Linked DNA regions of Ovis aries. The protein of the gene in region 2 interacts with the protein of the main gene of each other region in a pairwise test. Links are inferred from orthologs where the notes say so. Each region holds a gene or a part of one and is shown on either strand. Other genes may lie near its edges. The genes, in order: ISCU, NUP62 and AGR3.

What was found.
Region 1: the proteins of NUP62 (region 2) and ISCU interact in binary tests that used the Homo sapiens proteins (3 or more experiments, as listed by UniProt). The two-hybrid records come from large-scale screens. The link is inferred for Ovis aries from reciprocal best matches to the Homo sapiens genes NUP62 and ISCU.
Region 3: the proteins of NUP62 (region 2) and AGR3 interact in binary tests that used the Homo sapiens proteins (3 or more experiments, as listed by UniProt). The two-hybrid records come from large-scale screens. The link is inferred for Ovis aries from reciprocal best matches to the Homo sapiens genes NUP62 and AGR3.

The regions. Positions count from the first base shown.
Region 1 is NC_056070.1:64,528,832-64,532,581, reverse strand, and holds the start of ISCU (iron-sulfur cluster assembly enzyme ISCU), read left to right. Parts: upstream 1-1,287; 5' UTR 1,288-1,298; coding exon 1,299-1,412; intron 1,413-2,869; coding exon 2,870-2,983; intron 2,984-3,750.
Region 2 is NC_056067.1:55,999,771-56,003,520, forward strand, and holds the start of NUP62 (nuclear pore glycoprotein p62), read right to left. Parts: upstream 2,562-3,750; 5' UTR 1-2,561. UniProt on the Homo sapiens protein: Essential component of the nuclear pore complex. The N-terminal is probably involved in nucleocytoplasmic transport.
Region 3 is NC_056057.1:26,341,589-26,345,338, forward strand, and holds the start of AGR3 (anterior gradient protein 3), read right to left. Parts: upstream 2,732-3,750; 5' UTR 2,686-2,731; intron 305-2,685; 5' UTR 282-304; coding exon 173-281; intron 1-172. UniProt on the Homo sapiens protein: Required for calcium-mediated regulation of ciliary beat frequency and mucociliary clearance in the airway. Might be involved in the regulation of intracellular calcium in tracheal epithelial cells.

The DNA.
Region 1 (3,750 bases), on a different chromosome or scaffold from region 2:
CCACCTGAAGAGAAACTATGCGCCTCGGATGACATGGAAATCTCGAAATACACGAGATTCATGTTATTTTATATACTTTCAGTAGCTCTTGTTCGAATAAAAAAGCTCACCAACAGGGCATGCGTTTCGGCACAACGTCGGACAGCAGTTGGGTCCTTAGGCAGGAAGTGGAAGCCATAGAGGCAGCCACTGAGTGAGCGTGATGGTTGTAGTTAAGGGTTTGGCGCCATCTTGAGAAGGTCAAAAATGATTCTTGGAATAAATATCTTACCACCTAGTCTGACCTGGCGCGTGAGTCAGTCTCCCCAGCAACTGAGCCTCAAACGCGCAAAAAAGTCTTAAGTCCTCAGGGAAGGATCGATTGCACCATTCATGAGAATAACTCATTTCCCAGAGATTCCTTCTCTTTATCTAATGCCTGGCGCCTAGCACTTAAATACACGTGAGTTTTGATTTTATAGGATCATATTCTGCAAACCAGTATCAATAAATTACATTAATAAATATTTACTTAGAATCTCTTCATTGCTATATCTTGTGATTTAATCTGTGCCAGTTTGCTTTTTAATAGAGACATAAACATATACAATTTTTAAAATCAGAGCAAAGTATTCTTTCCTTTAGTTAAGCTTCTCACTTTAGTGGTAGAAAAGCCTTGGTGGGTCTATTTATTGCCTTGCTCCCTCAGTAGCAAGCTTAATTGTGTCGTCTTGGGTTGTTTTCCCAAAGCACCCTGACAAAAAGTAGATACTCAACACAAGATTTGCTCAATGGATGAAGAACTGTCCTTGAATTAGTACAAAAAAGATCGAGGTTTACAATGACACTATGTTTCACTTAGCAGCACACAGCCAGTTAGGAGCAGAAATGGGATTCTAACTCAGGACTGTTCAAGTCAGAATCCCAACTGGGCCCCTCTGGGCAACCTAGGGCAAGTTACTAAACCGTTCTGATCCTCAAATTCCTAAGCTGCAAAATAGAGCCAAGAAGGGTGGACTGGTTGAGCCTCTGCGCCGAAATAGGCGGTGGGGCTTTGTCAACGCAAAGCTGGGTCCTGATTTCCTGCTCAAGGATCCTCAAGATTCAGAACCCAGCTCGGTGGACCAGCCCTCGAACGATTTCAAACCTTTAGGCTCCGCGCCGCGGGAACAAAACGGGGACACGTGAACGCAGCGGGAGGGCGCAGGCGCAAGGTCGCCGGTACTTTAGAGGGTGCGCGCTCCCAGCAGGGAGCCGACTCGCGCACGCGCCCCTCCCCTCGGCCGCGCGCTCCACCTGCGCAGGCGCAAGCCCTCAAGATGGCGGCGGCTGGAGCGGGCCGTCTGAGGCGGGCGGCGTCGGCCCTGTTGCTCCGGCCCCCGCGCCTGCCCGCCCGGGAGCTCTCAGCTCCCGCTCGGCTCTATCACAAGAAGGTAAGAGCGGCCCGGGGGTCCGCACCGGGCGGGGGGGCGGGCGGGAGTGCGAGGACCCCCCAGAGGACTTAGGGGTCCTAGCGGAAGCCCAGCCTAGTGGCCCTCCCCGCTCTGCGCGGCCCTGGAACCCCGACTGCAGCCCAGGGCCCTGGCCGCCCCCAGCCCTGGATGGAGGGGCCTTCCTCTCAAGAGGCCGCCTCGAATGGCTTTCCCTCGCTGCGCTGGGGCGACTAACCGCGCCTGAAACAGGAATGACAGCTCCCGCTAGCCTAGCGGCAGCTGCCCTCAATCTGAAACATCCATCCGGCCTTTAAGCCTCTCGGCTGCCCAGGAAGCAGGGTCCTGCTCTGTCCGGGCTAGCCGGACACACAGCGGCCGAGTGACCTTGGGCGAGTCACTGCCCCGCGCTCGTCAGATGGGGTCTGGGCAGCGCCCCCGGACGCGAGTGCATTGCCTGCGGAGTCCTGGGCAGGGCGCTTGGCACAGGGAGGCCGCTGAGGGTCGGTGTTACTGTTGCAGGAGCTCAGAGCCTCCGAGTGGACATGGACGTGTAACCAACAGTCGTCACGTTTTTGTGTTTGTTTTGGTTTGGTTTGGGGGTGGTGGGATGCTGTGAGTTAAGACAGGTTGGGTAGTTGGCAGCCACATGAGACGTGTCTCGCTTGGGAACCGGTTAAGTAAAAAAAGTGCGATAAATCAACCCCGGGGCAGAAAGTCGAAACTGGATATTATCTTACAGATCCTTGGACTTGGAAGTCAAAATCCGTGGTCGGATAGGTCGGGGGAAGGGGACTGGAAGTTCGGAATACTTAACGACTAACTGGGAAACAAACCGCAAGGTTTTTAAAGCCTCGCATGTGCCAGTTTGAATAGATGTCTACTCTGTTCTGGCTTCCACGCGTTTGCGCACAGACCTCACTCCCCGCGGACCCAGGGCTGTATATTGTTGACAGTACACGCGGAATGACCTGGCGCGCGCAGCCTTTCCGCCACCAGAGCGCGCTGCGGCACCGCAGATTTCAGGGCCCCGAAATACAGTCATGGTGGTTATTTATCACCACACACAAATGGCTGTATTCCATAGCCTTGTTCCTCCCGTAACAATCTCCATGAGGCTTCTGGGACCATACAGACGTGTAGGTTTTTGCATAGTAATCATTCTTTTGAGAATGGATTTTCTTCCGAAATTACACAGGTGCTGTTTGAGCCCAACTCTGTGACTTGGGTGGTTAGAGGTCAAGTAATTAGTTGTGGTTCAAAACCCCACAGAATTAAGACATGATTTTGCTGATTTTTCTCCAGGATCCCCATATCTCTTAAATCCTGCCCAAGTGAAATTTGGTATTTAGTGATGGCCTGCCAGGTCCAGCTTGCTGACTTGAAGGAGCTTGCCATCAAAGTCGGGGAGATGAACAGCAAAAAAGAGTGACTGTGATTTCTCTTCACTCTCATTTCAGGTTGTGGATCATTATGAAAATCCCCGAAACGTGGGGTCCCTTGACAAGACATCTAAAAATGTTGGGACTGGATTGGTGGGGGCTCCAGCGTGTGGTGATGTCATGAAATTACAGGTACCCCTGGTTTCCATCTTTACTGGTGGTAACGGTGACCCCTTTGCTTGAACGGTGTTCTGTAGTTGACAGAGCATTTACATGTCCAGCATTTCCTCTGGTCCCCATCTTGATTCCTGTGAGGTGGGAGAAGTCAGTGTTACAAATGATTCCAGCAGGGGCTGAATCCTAGTCCTCCTGGTAAACTGTGCTGACCCCTTCTGACAAAATAAACAGATCTCACGTTCATACTCACTGTATCAGTTAGCTATCCCCAGAGGGACGGGAAATGCCACAAATCAAACTCTGCCTGCCCCGGTGGAAGCGCCCGGCACTCTGGTAAACCATAGCTTTCTCCACATCTCCTTCGTCACTGTGGTGGGAAGCTGGCCAGGCGGCTTCATGCGTATCTTGGAGAACAGAAGCAAGGCAGGGAGGAACACACTGCATGCAGTTTGACGTCAAAGGGGAAAGCACCAGCCAGTGACCTTCACTGCCAGCTCTGGCAGTGCTTAAAGGCACACACTGACCCAGCAGCTGGGAAGCCAAAAGTCAGGCTTGGGAGTGGGAGGAGACTGGGCAGGAGGCACACTTTGTGGCTGATCTTTGCCAGCGAGGCCTGTATAATTCTGTATAGTTGTTCCTGCTTGCAACTTTTCATTGCTGAACTCTTTGAAACAGAGGGGCCTCAATAATCAACGCCCAAACTTTTAAGTATGGAAAGCAGGAACAAAACTCTTAGGAAATGCCCTGCGGGCCTCCCTAAGTGCCGGGCTCTGCAGGCAGTG
Region 2 (3,750 bases):
CACAGAAACAGACTGACATTGCCTCCCGAGTTGTGACAAACACCAGTATAATACAAGATGCCCACGGGAAGCAGGGAGGCTGTGTGAGGGGTTCCCCGGGAACTCTCTGTATTGTCTTTGCAGCTTTGTAGTCAATCTAGTTATTCCAAAACAAAAAGTTAAAGAAAAATACTCTACCTAGTCCACCAGTTATAATCTAGAAGACTGGGGGATGACTGTGCCCCCACTGCCAGCAGCCTGTCCAATGGTCCCCCCTAATCCCACACGCTAGTACTCAACACTGAGGAGTGGCAGTCAGTCCTTACTTTAAAGACCTTTAGAAGCACTACTGCTGGGCACTAGAGATAAACCATATCCACCTTAATAGTAACAATGAATCCCTTATGTAACACCTTACTCTGTGCCAGGCACTAGTCCAAGGGCACCTGACCTGGATCAATTCATTTAATCCTCAATACTAAAAAATAGGTACTGTCAATGGCCACATACATTGGCCATCAGCATGTTTCTACTAACTCAACTCCATATTTGATTCTAGAACTATTAAGGAAAGCAAGGCACTTGGAAGGGAAATTGCCAGTAAGCTAGTTAAGTGGGGTGTAGTCAGGGGTTGAATCCAACAACTTGGCTCCAGAGTCTGTGCTCTTAACCGTTACTCTGTTGCCTCAGTAAAAAACAGCCCCTATAGGGCAAGAGCTCAAATACTGGCAGAGTGGATAAAGTGAAGGGAATGTGGTCAGATCCCAAGAAGGACTTCCAGTATGCAAGAGTAGCCTGTATTAGGGATGCAATATACAATAAACCTCATTAATACCACCATATGTTGTGTATGAAAGCTGTTACAAGAGTAAATCCTAAGAGTTCTCATCACAAGGAAAACAGGATGTATTTCTTTCTATTTCTTCAGCTTTCTATCTGTAGGAGATAATGTTCACTACACTTACTAATCAATTTATGAGGTATGTTCAATCAAATCACTATGCTGTACGCCTTAAGCTTACCCAGTGCTACATGTCAATCATAGCCCAATAAATCTGGAAGGAAAAAAAAAAAAAGAGCATCTGAACTTAGAGGAAGAAAAAAAAGCCTGTCTTCATTCTCAGATAACTCTGAAGATCAAGGTCCCTTGTCTTCTCAGGATCTTGATTCAGTCTCATAAGCACCAGGAAAAGCTCAACTCCAGGTGTAATGTCCTGCTGTGGACGAACGGAGGATGGGTTTCTGCAGCACAGGAAAGACCCACAACCACTTGGGCTGGGAGGGTCCAGCCTACCGGGAGGGGATGGTTAGGAAGTCCCATCTCTTTGAGCAATGGATTACAGATCTTCCTATTTCTGGCAGACCTGCACGATTGATGGTGGGGTCGGGGGAGCTGAGGTAGAGGACAGTCTGAAAGGGAGCTTAGGTGGAGGGTATGGACAAAAGAAGGAACCAACTGACCTGAAAGGAATGCTGAGGATAAGCGTTGAGGGTAGGTGGGCAGGAGACAGAGAAAAGATAACAAGCCTGAGGGTGATAACTGACTCGCTGCACCAAGATGGGGCCGAGCGTCCATGTTATGAATGGGAAAGGGGGGGGATGGCTGGGAATTACCTTGGAGGAGGTAAAAGAGACACAAGGATGACCTTTTAGCAAGTGTTGGATGGTCTAGCGTCTGGGGTTCCTGCCAGGGGGGTCGGAAGGGGTGACACCGAGCCCCAGGGTTCCTTCCTACTCACAGTAAGAGGTTGAGAGAGCATGTACGAAGTGGGATCTCAGTTTCACAGGCAACGACTCATTTGATTCTGACAAATGACCCCACCAGGTACAACTGATTATTCTCCGCGTTTTACAGATAGTCTCCTGTCTAGGCTGCTAGAGAATTCAGGTCTTTTGCCCAAGGCCACCTTCGCCGGCCTGGGATTTGACTGGAGCGCGCTCTGTGACTCACGCCAGGTTCTAAGCCACAGGAAAGGTTCTCAGAGTGGGACGGCAGTTGAAGGATGAGGAGAGTAGCATGTGGCTGGCCGGAAATTCGCGAAGCAGGGGAAAGCAAAGGAGAAATGAACCGGCCGGAGTCTCGGGGAAGACGGATTATCGAGTCACCAGAATCAGAGGGAGCAGAGGGCCGGAACCCAGAGTCAGAGAGAAGGGAGGGTCGGAACCCCCGGAGTCGGGAGAAAAGCGGGGCTAGATCCACGAGTAAGAGGAAGGAGAGGCCTGGACCCCCGGGATCGAAAGCCGGGATCAGATCCCCGAGGGCAGGGGTGCAGGCCCGCCTCCGCGTTGGGGCCACGTGGGGCGGGGCGCGGAAGGATCCGCGCAGGCCGTGCTGCGCCGCCCGCGGTATATCTGTGTCCAGTCCCCGGGGCCACCTCATTCCCCATCCTCAGATCACGGTCTCTCCTCACTCTACCGCCACGCCGCCTCTGCCCGCATACCCCCGGCCATGGCTCTGTAGCCGCGACCCCTCTGTGCCCCCGGCCAGTCTCCGCGCTCACCGCGCCTGCGCTCTCCGCTCCTGCCGTCTCCCTTCAGCCGAGGCCGCCGCCGCCTCTCCTTTGCGCAGCCATGGAGTGAGTAACCGCTCGCCCCTCCCTCTCCAACCGCCTTTCCCGCCCTTTCGAAGCTCGCGGCCCTCGCGACCGAGCCCGGGGGGGTGGGGAGACTGAGGAATCACGGTCGCGCAGGCGCAGAAGAGGGAAGACGAGCGTTCTCGCGCGACGGAGCATGCGCACTCGGGCGGGTGCGTTCTTCCGGACAATTGGTGTTTAAAGAGGATAGCCACGTGCGTGTGCGCCTGCGCACTAGTTCCCAGACGCGGTGGCTTCCCCACACCCCCGCCCTGACTGTCTGCGAGCAATTGCTCATGCGCAGCTGCCCACCTGAGGCTGTATTTTTTGCTCTAAGGGCGGGCATTAAGCAGCAGCACATGCTCACTGGCCCCCAGGAGGGCGGTGGCTACGGCACCGCTCGGGAGATGGCGCATGCGCTGTAGCCTTCAACGAGAGAGCCGCCTCCCACTTTGCTCAGGCGCCGAGCTTATCTTCCCTCCCTTTCATTCAGGCGCCTGCTGGGGCGGGGACTGGTTTAGATTGACAGGGGAGAAGGCGGGGATTAGAAACGACCTGTAGAGGGGAAGGAGCTAGGATAAGAGGCGTCTCCGAGGACGGGGTTGGGGGCGGGGTTACCCATTGTGGAAGGGGCGGGGCTGACGAAACCTTTTGCTGAGGGAGGTGGGGTTTCTGCCTGAGAAAGAGGCGGGGCCTCTGGGGAATCATCGGGGAGGGGTGGAGCTAAAATGTACCGTGGGGGCGGGACTTTGAGAGAGAGTGGCGATCAGCCCCAAAATTTAAAGGGAGAACTGCGATTTGAACGGATAACTTTGACGACCGGGCGGGAAAAGGGGGAATTCCCATGGGAACAGATTTGAGTTGGAATCTAGGGAGGGTGTGGGGCCTAAAAGCTATATTTTAGAGGAAGAGATGTAACTGGAAGAAAATTCCCCAGGGATTGAGTGTGGGTTGTTTTTTTTTTTTTTTTTTTTTAAATGAAAGGGAATATTTGGGGTGAGTGGGAAGGACTTTAAGGAAATTCCCCTGGGAGACCATTAGGTTTCTGTTTTGGAAGGATTGGGTCTTGGGAATTCTGAGAAATAAGCCAAATGTAAAGAGAATTCCCTTGGGAGTGGGTGGGGCTCAGATACAGGAAAAGGACAGGTTTAGAATTCTGAAAGGATGAGGAGTCCTGGGACTCTGGGGAGGTGGCTTG
Region 3 (3,750 bases), on a different chromosome or scaffold from region 2:
TTTAAAATTAACTGATAATTTCTGGAGTTCTTTTTCCCCTGTTTTCAAGTAATGCACAACAAAAAATTCCAGTTAATTGAGTTGGTTTTATAACTAGACTGTGGGCAAGAGATGAAGAATTTTAAAACAATCCAAATGACTGAGTTTAGAAAATAAAATGAAATTCCAGTACCTCTTGAAAGTGTCTGAGGAGGTCTCTTTTCCTTTTTGATAGCAATGGCAAGGTTGGAAGAAACTGTGGTGAATAAGAGGCAGAGGACCAGAGCTGAGTGTGACATCATGTCTTCTCAAGAATCCTTCAGAACTGGATGGTAAAAAATATCAGAATCTAGTAGGTTACCTCAGGCTGTCATCAAGACATTTTTTAAGAGTTAGACCAAACTTAGGCTGACAGGTTGCTTTGCTTGTGTGAGTTGACATGGTACAACCATCTAGAACTTTCACATTTTATTTTTAAATTATTGTAAAAATGCAGTCAATTCAATAAAAGTCCACTTGATGAAAAGCCACAGTGTTTGGGCTTCCTGTGGGTGGTACAATGACGTTGACACCCAAATAGTCACCCAAAGCCTATTTCTGACAGCTTTTGAGTGCTTACAGTGCTGCTTTAAATCTCAGATAAAATCATGTTGATTAAAGGGCTTGCCCCTGCTGAATGCAGTGGGAAGGTGACAAGTGTCATGCATTAATAATCTTTGCCTTTTGATTAAAACACCATTTTAACTTTATACCAAGACAGTAAGATGAGGCATGAAAAATTAGTGCTTAAAATGGAAATGGGAGGAAAAATGGAATATGGAGGTTCTTGTTTTTCAGTTCCTTGATAGTCCTTTATCTTTATCCTCCCATCGTTTACTCAGCCTTTTGCCCTTCAGTGTGCAACTCTGCCCTGTTTAAAAATCAGGCCTCCCATTTCAGTATCTTTCTCTTGCCAGTGGTGCATCCCTTCGGTTCTCTCCTGGATTGAAAATGGTTGCTTTGGTTCTATTTAAATTATTTTCTTTCCTAATCTGGAAAGGATTCACTTGTAAATTTCTTTGTATTGAGAAACCCTGTTAAACAATAATCATGGTGCTGATAAGTATCACAGTTTAAGTTCTTATAACTTGGTAATACTGTAAAACATTTCAGAATGCCATCTTTTACCTTATGGATGTCATCGTGTACTGTAAAGGTTGGAACAAAGGAAGGGTAGATTTCAGGAGGGGATAAAGATGGTTGAGTCTGAACACAGAGTCCAATGTGGGGAGGGCAGGCTTTGTTGGGGTGAAAGTGGCTGTAGAAATGGAAGCAACCATCTAAGGCAGGGTCTTAACTTGGGTCCAGGGAGCTTCTAGGTGATCTGTGATTGAGCCCCTGAAGTCTCAAAGTCTCTGAATTTGACTGTAAAATTTTATGAGCCTTTATTCTCTTTTCTGGGGAAGAAAGCCCCCAGTTGCCTTAAGATTCTTCCAGGTATCTTTAGAAGCAAGGAGTTAAGAAGCAGTTAATCTGGAGGAAGCATGAGAAAAAATTCTTTATGATATAGACAGAAATAAGTAGGTAGAATCTCTAGCAAAAAAGTTACAACTTCACCTTTTTCTTAGTTTAAAGCTGCCAAATTTAAATAGGAACTGATTTTTTTTTTCAGATTTCAAGTTATTAGGTATAATTGTCAGAGTGTTCTACTTAAAAAAATGAAAGTATTTGTTTTCTGTTTGACACTGATAAATTGTAAAAGAGGTATTAAATATATCCTATAATGAAGACAGTCAATTTATATATTACTGTTTCGGATGAGTAGTCATTTCCCTGGTGAATAGAACATGATGACTTACAATCCTCTAGTATCAGATGCCTGGGTTAATCTAATTGGGGGACACAGATGAACATGATGTGGTCATGTGCTGGGAGCAGCTCACACTGCACTCGGAGGCCAATAACCACATGTCTACAGTTAGGTGTTATAAACACTGGCAGCATTTTCTGACAGTACTTTACTTTTCAAAAGTAATTTAACGTATGTCATTTACTTAAATATTTAAAAATTCTCTGTAAAAGAAAAGAGGGAGTGAAATTTTACATTCTTTTCACAGGATATTAAAATTAGTTCCCTATGCTAAACAGTAGAACCTTGTTGTTTATCCATCCTATATATAAGTTTGCATCTGCTAAGCCCAAACTTTCACTCCATCCCTCCGTTCTCTTTCCTGGGGAAGAGAGCCCCTTAGAGAATATTTAAAATAAAAATGTGTATATATATGTATATATTCTTTATATTCCTTACGTATATGTCCTTTATGACTGGATCACTTTGCTGTACAGCAGAAATTTGCATACTATAAGTCAGCTATACTTCAATATGAAAATTAAAAAAAGAAAACAGAGGAACAATTGTTACTTGCAGCATAATTTTTAAAGGGTCACTTTTGATCAATGTTAATTTATTATAGTAACATTAATACAAGTAGAGAATAAAAGCATCGTTCCAAATTTTTGTGACGAGACAAAAACTGAGGAGCCTACGCTCGCCTGACGAAAGTATGAAGCCAACAAAGAAAATCTCATTTATTAAAAGAAGAAAAATTTCGCTGAACTTCCCTCTGACTTACTGAAGGCCTCAGTTTTACACAGTGAAAAGGTGATCCTTTAAATACAACTGAGCTTGACCACTGATTAAATAATCTGGAAATTTTGCTTGCTTACCTGAAATAGTCAGTGCTCTTGCTGGAAGTGTATTCTGGATGTTTCTGGTTAAAAATGGGTGTGGATTTATAGACACACACACACCTGAACTAGAGCCCCACCTGCCTTGAAACAAGAGCACAGTCCACCTGCAAACTTACAAAAATGGGCTTGTCTGAAAAATCTGTGCTGTTCTCCAGTTCTTAGCCTCTCACACTAAGAAAGAAAGAGTCTTCTTTCTCTAAATTGAGATCGAGTGTCCTGATAGAATGAGGCCAAATACCACCTTTGTACTTTTTTTTTTTCATCCACCTTTTACTTCCCAGGGTAATTTAATGTTTGGCTAGAGTTCAACACCAGGAAAAGGTGGGGGAGGGGGGTGGTGGGAGGGGAGGAACTGGTCTGAATGTCGGAACTGTGTGCGCACTATTGTTCTCGATGAAAGGTCAGTGAGGCTTGAGATTAGATATAAAACAGAGGAATTCCTAAGGTTTACTCTCTTTACAGAACTAGAATTAATAGCTGAAGAGAGCAGATCCCCCCTTCTTTTCTGAGAAAGAGGAAAAGAGAAATATGCTGTTTTAAAATTTAACATTTTAAGAATTTGACTCTGTATAAAATCCCTTACCTTACCATGACCCCCCCCCCAAAAAAAAAAGGAAAGCGGGTAATTAGATACTATATTTATCTAATAGTTTAAAATTTTTTCTTATAATTAATCTATGATTACAGAAAAGCATTTTTAAAGTATGGAGTTGCGTCAAAAAGAAAGTAAGCTTCTCTTGCCCGTCCCCAGTACTGCCTGTCTTTCTGTTCACCCCCTCCCCAACAGACACACATCTACCTGACCCCGCCACGTTCTACTTCTTGGACTTAATTGTTGTTAAAGTGATCTAGGGCAGAGTCTTCAAACCTGGCCCACCTGTTTTTGTGCAGACCAAGAGCTAAGAGTGGTTTTTACATTTTAAAATGTTTTTGGGTGAAAAATAAAAAGAATCATAATTTGTGACATGTGAAAATTGTATGAAATTCAAATGTCAGTGTCTATAAATAGAAATGACTGGATGAAGCACAACCATGTCCATT